Ovis aries: one gene and its partners. Each later gene encodes a partner of the first gene's protein in a complex. Links are inferred from orthologs where the notes say so. Each region holds a gene or a part of one and is shown in the gene's direction. Other genes may lie near its edges.

Region 1 (3,394 bases):
TGGATGGCATCCCCCACCAGAGGACAGGCTGAGGGCACAGGCTGCTCACGAGGCCCTGCCCTGCCCGCCCTCGTGTGTGAAGGGCTGCCAAGGGTCTGGAGAGAGCCTGCTGGAGGGCGGCCCTCCCACGTCCTGTGCAGAAGGAGGGGCCTCGTACCCTGCGGGGGCGACGCCAGGCACAGGGAGCCTGAGTGGATGGATGCTGCCCGGCTGCCTACACGTTCCTCCCCACGGCTCTGACACGTACCCCCTGTTGCAGGACGGGGACAAATTCTGGCGGATGCCCGAGTGCTACATCCGCGGCAGCACCATCAAGTACCTGCGCATCCCTGACGAGATCATCGACATGGTCAAGGAGGAGGTGGTGGCCAAGGGCCGTGGCCGCGGTGGCCTGCAGCAGCAGAAGCAGCAGAAGGGCCGCGGGATGGGGGGCGCCGGGCGAGGTAGGCCCTTCTCTCCGCCCTCTCCCCTGGCAGGCAGCCGGGGCCTCCCCGCTGGAGCGTGACTGCCGCGCGCGGCATCTGGCCTGGCCCAGTGCTGGCATTCTCCGCTGGTGGCGTCATGTTGCCGAGGGCCTGGCTCTGCGCCCCTCCTCCATGGCACTGGGGGGCTGTGACTCACGGGGCTCTTCTGTGGAACAGTTGGTGCTGCTGGTTGCCACCTGCATGCCCCGTGTCCCCCACCCCAGGAGCCCAGCTAAGCCCTAGTGGTCAGTGCTGGCCGCGCCCATCCTCACAACATGGGCCCTCCTCCCCGCAGTGGCTCTTGGTGCTCCCTCAGCTCCAGATGCCGCCCAGCAGACTAACCCAGCACCCACACAGACCTGGGACTTGAGCCCCACCTGTGTTTCCTGGCAGGTGCTCTGGGCACCTCGGGGAGGCTCAGATTCCCCCCTGCGGAGAAGATCCCCGTGGTGCCCAGCCTGGGACCCTTCCCTGCTGTGACTCCTTTAGACAAAACCAAGGTCACGCCTTTTGGGTAGATCACCCCGCACCACCCTGAAATCATAAATCTTGCATAAAACTAAACGTGCAGTCAGCTAGAGCCGCAGCCCAGAGGCCAGCTGTGGGCCCCACCCTCCCCCACCCGACTTCTGTCTCACCCACCTGGAGGGGCTTGTATGCCAGGTTCCAGGAACCCACCCTGGAGGCTTATATGCAGAGCCAGGAAAGACATAGGAGCCCCCCTGAGCTGAGGCTTGAGTGACAGAAAGGAGCCAGAGAGAAGAGGGCACCGCAGGTGGAGAAGAACCTAGGATGGGGGTGAGCAGGGCCCCAGAGGTCCCAGGACCTGCCCCCAGGGCTAGGCTGCCCACCCAGGGTGCCATCGCTGTCGAGTAAACTGCCTGAAGGAGCAGGGAGGACAGGGAGAGGCGCTTGCATAGGGGCCCCTGCATGACCAGGCTCCCCTTGCCCAAGCTGGGTCTTGCTCCATTAGAGATGAGGCTGGGCAGACCCTGTCAGCCCTGGCCCTGTCCCCTGTATGCGTGTGGAGGAAGGGGGCCCTGGAAGGCCAGGCTGCTGCTTCTGTGACTTCCTGGGCAGGGGCTGCACCCACCCTTGGGCTATTCACCTTCCCCAGCAGCAGTGCTGTGTGCTCCACGTAAAATGCCTTTCGGAAACAGCCCCACCTCTGGCTGCAGAGGTCAGAGCTCAGGAGGCTCCCCCGCCCCTTCTCTGGGCTGGACACACAGAGACCCCACCCCACCCCATTGTTTCAGCAAGGCAGGGTGGGGTCCCCCGGTGCAGCCCCAGTCACAGAGCTGAGCATCGTTGCTCCACCCCTGGGCTGAGTCCAGGCCTCATCCTAGCTTGTACTCCCAGCTCCTCCTGGAAACCCTTCTGATTTTGTCCTGCTGATGACTACCCACCCCCTCACCTTGGCCCTCAGCCCTCTCTTCCAGGAAGCATATCCCCCCCCCCGCCGCCGCCCCCGCAAGCCCCAGTGTGACTTGATGCCAACCTCTGTCCTTCTTGGCATCCTTCGCACCCCTGGGGCGCCTGGTCTGATATCCCTTGTCACACTGAGAATGTTGTGGAGCAATACCCCTGCCCAGCCCTGGTCAGACACTCCATCTCAGATTTTCAACCTGCTCTTCCCACCGACGGTACAGTCACTGCCCCCACTTTACAGAGGTGAAAGCTGAGGCTCAGAGGGGTTCAACGACTTGGCTATAGTCTAAGGGTTCCAGTTCCTGGTCCTTGCCCACAGTGACCCTCCCAGCCTGGCTCTACTGAACCCCCCCTCCTGTCTCACAGGTGTGTTCGGTGGCCGGGGCCGAGGTGGGATCCCTGGGACTGGCAGAGGTCAACCAGAAAAGAAGCCAGGCAGACAGGCGGGCAAACAGTGAGCCGCCCCTCCATTCCCGAGACTGAGCTGCCGCGCCGAGCACCTGCTCCCACCCTGAGGCTGCATTCCTGGTCTCCAGTTTATGACTGTTCAGAACAAAAAGAAGAGGCAGGGGTCGGGGAGGACCCCCTGCCTGTCCTCTGGTGGTCCTCCTCTTTTTTTGTTAGCCAGCAGTTCTATGGTTGGAAATGTTAATTCTGTGCTTCTGGTTTTGTGAAGCCGCAGCCAACTGGATTCCTGGAAGATTCTGTGTTTAATGCATCGTTAAAGCCCTCACTCTTGTTTTAAGGGCAGGCATTTTCCAAACAGGTTTGTTTTGCATTCTGTGTGGTAAACAGACGGGAGGTTTTTATTTTCAGCTGTTTGCACTGAGATTGATAGCCTGGAGGGTCTCCTGAAACACGGACCCTGAAACTGCCTTTTCGAAATGGATCCAGGCAAACGTATGCCTCAGAAGCTGTTCTGGGGGATGATGCTGGGCCCTATTCCGTCCCTTCTTCTCTCCCTCTTTGTCTTAGAAAAATAAAAACAAATACAACTACAAACTGCGAAATCCATAATTCCTTTGAACCACTGGGTGAATCTAGTTGTAGTGTCCTCAGGAAATCACAGCCCCCACGCAAGAAGTTTCCTTTTGCCCCCTGTGGCCTCTCACCAAGGGGAAGCATTTCAATGGGACACTGGTTCCCATGACCCTCAGCAGCCTCTTACAAAAGGTGGAAGGCAAAATGGGGGTCTGGGCAGTAGGGGAGCCCCTTCCCCTCTGTGGGGCGGTGGGGGAGGGAAGTTGTGGGTGGGAGCCAGTGGGACACCCACACTGCCTGTCCTCAGCCTCCATCTCTGTTGTGCAAGCACTGTTCACAGCAGAGCTCCCTGAGAAGCCGTGACATGGAGCTGCCTCCAGGAACACATGAGGAAGGCTTTTCACGAACTGTTTACCTCCTCTTAGGGTCGGGGCACTTGCCTGTCCGCGACTCAGCGATTTGCCTGAGACGCTGAGCCAGCACTTGTGCGGAACACTTCCGGCGATGTGGTCCTTTGACCG
Region 2 (3,215 bases), on another chromosome or scaffold:
GCACCTTTAAAGCTTTTGACAAACATATGAATTTGATCCTCTGTGACTGTGATGAGTTCAGGAAGATCAAGTAAGGAGTGGGCTGTGGGGGGAGGGGTTGAGTGGATGGGGAGTGGATCGGGTGGGTGGGCCAAGTGTTAGGTGGTGACTAGCTGGCTGGTTCCTCTCAGTTTGCTCTCCTGTTTTACAGGGCAGATTAAAATGGAGAGTTTCTTAAATCTCTTTCCTTAGTCTTGCTCTTTACTTCTAGCAGAGTACAAGTTGTAAGTAGGGCTGCCAGGCTTTTTATTTCTCTGATTTTGTGTGCCCGGGGGTACTGGGGTAAAGGGCTCTCATGTTCTCCCCACAGGTGTGTAAGGGGGGAGAGCTTGATTTTCTGGCCTCATTGCCTATTTGTAAAGCTGTAGCCTAAAGGGCTCTCACAGTGCAGCCTGGTCTGAAACTGCTTTAAGAAGCCTCTGACCCTCTTCAGGGTAAGTGCTCAACTCCCCTTGTGGGTTTGGGGCCAGTGATTTTTGTTGTCATTTACAGAAACAATTGGAGAATACAGTCCCATAATTTGTTAGATAATTCCCTTGTCTTAGGACTCACCGATCTTAAGCTTCTAGCCTGGTAAAAGATGTGGTCTAGTGTTTTATACAGTAAAGGCATCTTGAGGCCCAAAGAAGTTACGTAATTTCCTTGACCATCCAGCTCTCTTTTGCCACTGGAGTGTCCATAGTGTGTTACCAGTGGCTGTCAGTTCCTTTTAATTCTCTTTGGGACTTTTGTTTTCTTTGTGGCATGAGGTCAAGAAGTATAAGACAGAAAATGGTAGTGATGGCTGAGTGCCCGGTGTACATTAGAGAGTGGCCAACATTTTTAAATGAGACTAACTTTATTCTGGTAATGAAAATGTGCCCATTAGAAAATATTTTGTAAAAGTACATAGAAGTATATGAGAAAAAACTTAAGAGACCCAGAAAGGATTTTTTTTTTAAATTGTGAAAGGGCAGTACATGCTTTTTTTAAAAAAAATAAGAACTATAGATAAGTTTTAAAAAAGAGGAAAAAATGACCACCTATAGAAAATTTATATAAAATATCATTAAAATGAAAACTTTAAGTAATTTTTAAAAATCAAGATATTTTGTATTTCCTTTAACTTTAGGATATTGGCTTTGACTTTCCTTTCCCTGTCTTGTTGCAATTACTTTTTCCCAGTCTATCTCGTTTATATTTTGCTCATCCTTTTCTACTTGTGGATATTTGGAGATTTGTTTTTGTTCTTTGAGGATAGAAGTGTAATTTCTATGTAGCTAATCTCTTAACCTTTTCCTTTATGGCTTCTATTTCTAATATGAGGTGAGAGACAGAGTTATAGTTCTGTGGGGCTGAATTAATACTAGAAGGATACTGCATGTAAGTAGAGTGAATGGGATTCAGTTGACTTGAGGAATTGTTCCGACTGCCTTCCTGACATTGTTAAGGCCTTAAACTGAAGGAAGAAAAAGGGTAATGGCAACAAAGAGTTGACTGAGGGAAGGCTTTCACAGTGGCTTTGTGAGTGAGCCAGGGCTGGGCTTTCTTGAATCTTGTCCTGTCTCTTGGTCTGTGCATTCTCTTGGCATGGGAGACAACCATCAAATGGGGGGAGGTTACAAGTTTAGCCTGTCAGTAGATTTAGTGTAAAAAAAGTCTCGGAGGGCCCCTAGGTAGGTGAACATGAACTTTACCCTTTTTCTAATGCTGTTTTGCTTTGTTTTGTTTCTTCTCCTAAACCTGTCTTTAGACCAAAGAACTCAAAGCAAGCAGAGAGAGAAGAGAAGCGAGTCCTCGGTCTTGTACTACTTCGAGGGGAGAACCTGGTCTCAATGACAGTAGAGGGACCACCTCCAAAAGATGTAAGTCAGAACTGAGAGCCAGTGCAAGGCCAGGAACCTTGTGCAAGGGAGGTGCCACCCTGACCTGGGCCCTGTGTGGGGTTCTCTGTTTCATTGCAGTTCTCATAGGTATCTTCTGGTTTCTGTTTCCCTTATACAGATAATAAACCAGAATCTTAAAGAGGTTCCTTTGCAAGTCAGAAGTAAGGAACTAGGATTTGAGGGTTTGTAACTTTAAAGCCCTCTTTTCCTTAGTTGATGTACCTAGTCAATAGAAGAGGCACCTAAGGCCTCCTGGATCAGTTCTTAATGTGATGACAGTCTAGTTGGACCATAAAAAATTGTAACTCCAAACAATAGAATGCATGTATATTTTTTGTATAGTTATAGAATAATAGTTAATATTTAATTAAGCATCTGCTATTTGCCACGCCCTTCAGTATTTAATTCATGTAACAGTCTTTTGAGATAGATTATTCCCGCTTTATAGATAATGCCAATTGAAATTTAGTAACCTGCACAAGGTGGCACAGCTGGAAAGTGGTGAAACTGTCATTTGATTCCAAGCAGTATTGGTTCATTAACATCAGCCTCCCTTTAGAAATAGGAGAGGCTTTAGAGAATCTAACCAAATTTGTTTCCCCTTTTTCGTTTTAAGATAATGTTTGTTAAAGGAATAATCTTGTTACCTTGTGTTAATTTTTGTCCACATATATATATGTTGGGTTTTTTTAAACTTGTAATAGGTGTGTATCATTCTGCTTTTTAACTTAACATTGTAAACATTTTTCCAGTTGCTGTATTCAAAAGTCATGTTAATGACTTAAAGATACTTTCAAGTGAGTGCAGAGTAGTTTATCCTAGTTATTTCCTTTTGTTTAGACTCTTATATGCAAAGGATGTTACCATGTTTCTGATTCAAGGCCTAGGTACCTATTCATAGCTTTGGTATCTATTTCCAGTAGAATTTGCTACTCTAATGTAGCCGATTGTAAGCCTTCAGGACCACAACCAGTTTTGTTAAAACCTCTTCATTGGTAGATGAAGAAGCAGTACTAGAATGGTGGGATTACTTGCCCACTATCCCCACTATTACCCACCAAGTGAGAATCAGAGCTGGGACTGGACCTCATATCTCTTTGTCGGGTCAAAACACTAATCTAACATAGATACCCTTTGGGGTGGAGGCTTGGCTGTTTATTTGATTTTCATAGGAATGCATATTGGTTGAGTTGTACCTGTTTCTCTTGACTTAAAACCCTTAAGTTCTTTTAGCCTGCTGGGCATATAATCTTGGATGGAGGAAGAGTGGTGTTAACAGGAATGGATAGTGTTTATAAGAAGGTGTTTTGA
Region 3 (2,313 bases), about 14 Mb from region 1:
TAAGCCAGTGGAATCCTGAAAGGGTTCGACCCGCTGCTCAACCTCGTGCTGGACGGCACCATCGAGTACATGCGAGGTGAGTGCAGCTGCAGGGCTCGGAAGCATCCTTCCGAGCAGTAAGGCCTTCTTTACTGTTCCTAGGCCGCCGCCCATATGCTGAGCCACCGTGAATGTGGCGCCTAGTGGGTCAGACTGCTGACAAGTGTGTTTGCTTTGCCACTGTCCTGGTGGGGCTCAGTACACTGTCACCTCAGGACTTCAAGGGTAGAGTGTTCTCCGGATTCACTCGTCACCGACCCTCAGCACTTGCTGGAGTTGAAGTCTGCCTGGTGGGGCTAGAAAGGTGCTGCACCTGCCACAATAAAGCTGGCTTCCAGGGGCCTCATCCTGCCCCCTCTCTCCTGCTGTCTCTATCTGTCTACTCCCTGCTGCTGACAAAGGGTCCCCTCCCCTTCCTTTCCTGTCCCCGTCTCCACAAGTCCCCAGACCCACCAGCTCAGCCTGAGTGCTGCACGACGGAGCCCCCAGGTTCAGGAGAGAAGGGGGTCTCACTCCTCCAGGGACTGTCGATGTTGAAGTACACATTACTCTGGTGCAGAGTAAATGCGGCCACACACAAGTGTCAGAAGCCACCAGGCAGAGGCCCTCTTTGTGGGAGGAGCAACCCTGTAGGGCCTTTTGCCTGCCCTTGTTTTCTCTCTTCCCTCGGGGTTTACCCAGAGTCCTGCTGCTGGGGTCCTGGCCCAGCCTCCTCAGGCAGATGACATTCTGAAAAAGGACAGCCTCACCCCCGTGGGGCTGCTGGGAGAACCACATGAGCTGGTGTGTGCCATGCACTTACATGGGGTCCTGGCTTGCTGGTCCAGCGACTTTTTGCCCTCTCCTCACCCAAGAACAGCCCCAGGCCCAGAGCCAGCCAGACCCATCCCGGCAGCTCCAGGAGGGAATGGGCAGGCTCGGACAACTGTCGTCCTGCAGGGCCTGGGAGTGGGGAGTGGCACCCCAACTCAGCCTCTCCCGTCACGCAGTAATCTCTGAGAGTAAGCTCGCCTCCGTGCGCTGTCACTTCCCTCCACTGGGAACAGCCCGCTGGTGTGAGGGTGAATGGTGACCCTCTAGGAACTCCCAGATCCTGCAGATGGGTTTTTCTTCTCCCACCACCCCTCTGAGCACTCGGTCCATCTCCCCAGGGCTGTGTTCTCATTGTGGAAGGAGGGCAGGCTGCACAGGGCTGTTTCAGAGCTTTTCCTGAGCCTCTCCATCCATCTCCAGAGAAGCTGCCAATGGGCTGGGGGAAGCGGAGGTGGGGGGTGGGAGCTTGGCCTGCCTTCCCTCCCCCCAGCCCCCACACCCCACTTCTTCCCACCCAGGCACATCTCTGGGCACCTTCCCACACTGCCTCATTGCCGCCCCTCTTCTCCCACAGACCCCGACGATCAGTACAAGCTCACAGAGGACACGCGGCAGCTGGGCCTGGTGGTGTGCAGGGGCACTTCGGTGGTGCTCATCTGCCCGCAGGATGGCATGGAGGCCATCCCCAACCCCTTCATCCAGCAGCAGGATGCCTAGCAGCCAGGCCACTGCTCCCCTGACTTGGCCACCCGTCCGAATGGAACTCTTTTTTGTATAACTTACATTTTGTTTTCTTAATAAAATTGCAAACCTCAAGTGTCCAGGAGCCCTGGAATCTTCCTTTCAGCTTTGGTGTTCTGGCAAAACCCAGACCTGGGGATTTGGTTCATCTGGCAGAGCTTGAGCGCTGGCCGGGGACTTGGTGGTGACTAAGCATGCATAGTGCAGGCGGGGGAATGGGTTTTGCCTCTGCAGAGACCCCCCCAGGGATCACCGCCTCTGTGCACACCCCAGCCAGCCTTCTCAGCGGCAGGTCCTATCCTTTCAGTGCCTTTATGCTCTGGCCCGAGGGGTCCTGCAGAGCCGGGTCCACTCTGTCATGTCCCCACAAAGCACAGCCATGACCCCACAAAGAACAGACTAGATGGAGCCTTGCTGTCCACCTGGCCCACGACCCCAGAGGTGATCTAAACCTCTTCCCCGCTCATCTCAGAGGACAAGCCCACCCCTGCCCCTCAGCCGGCGACCCCAGGCCATCATCATGAACGTCCCCAGTCCCTGTCCTCAGGAGCAGGGCTTTCTCCTGGCCTTGTTCCATAAACCCAGTGTCCTTGTTAGGACCCTGCCCCCATGGGGCCATCCCTGCTGACAGCAGGCTCGTCTCTCATTTGTCAGTCTGGAGCACTGATGAGGGTGGACGGGGAGGCCGAGAGTAAGCATGAGTTGTGCTGGCAGAAAGTT

Evidence for each region.
Region 2: LSM4 (region 1) and SNRPB share a complex: the UniProt entries of both Homo sapiens proteins name them as parts of the U4/U6-U5 tri-snRNP complex. The link is inferred for Ovis aries from reciprocal best matches to the Homo sapiens genes LSM4 and SNRPB.
Region 3: LSM4 (region 1) and LSM7 share a complex: the UniProt entries of both Homo sapiens proteins name them as parts of the precatalytic spliceosome. The link is inferred for Ovis aries from reciprocal best matches to the Homo sapiens genes LSM4 and LSM7.

What each region holds. Positions count from the first base shown.
Region 1 is NC_056058.1:4,695,141-4,698,534, forward strand, and holds the end of LSM4 (U6 snRNA-associated Sm-like protein LSm4), read left to right. Parts: intron 1-259; coding exon 260-443; intron 444-2,258; coding exon 2,259-2,350; 3' UTR 2,351-2,894; downstream 2,895-3,394. UniProt on the Homo sapiens protein: Plays a role in pre-mRNA splicing as component of the U4/U6-U5 tri-snRNP complex that is involved in spliceosome assembly, and as component of the precatalytic spliceosome (spliceosome B complex).
Region 2 is NC_056066.1:52,396,495-52,399,709, forward strand, and holds part of SNRPB (small nuclear ribonucleoprotein-associated proteins B and B'), read left to right. Parts: coding exon 1-70; intron 71-1,771; coding exon 1,772-1,883; intron 1,884-3,215. UniProt on the Homo sapiens protein: Plays a role in pre-mRNA splicing as a core component of the spliceosomal U1, U2, U4 and U5 small nuclear ribonucleoproteins (snRNPs), the building blocks of the spliceosome.
Region 3 is NC_056058.1:19,036,607-19,038,919, forward strand, and holds the end of LSM7 (U6 snRNA-associated Sm-like protein LSm7), read left to right. Parts: intron 1-4; coding exon 5-76; intron 77-1,426; coding exon 1,427-1,569; 3' UTR 1,570-1,668; downstream 1,669-2,313. UniProt on the Homo sapiens protein: Plays a role in pre-mRNA splicing as component of the U4/U6-U5 tri-snRNP complex that is involved in spliceosome assembly, and as component of the precatalytic spliceosome (spliceosome B complex).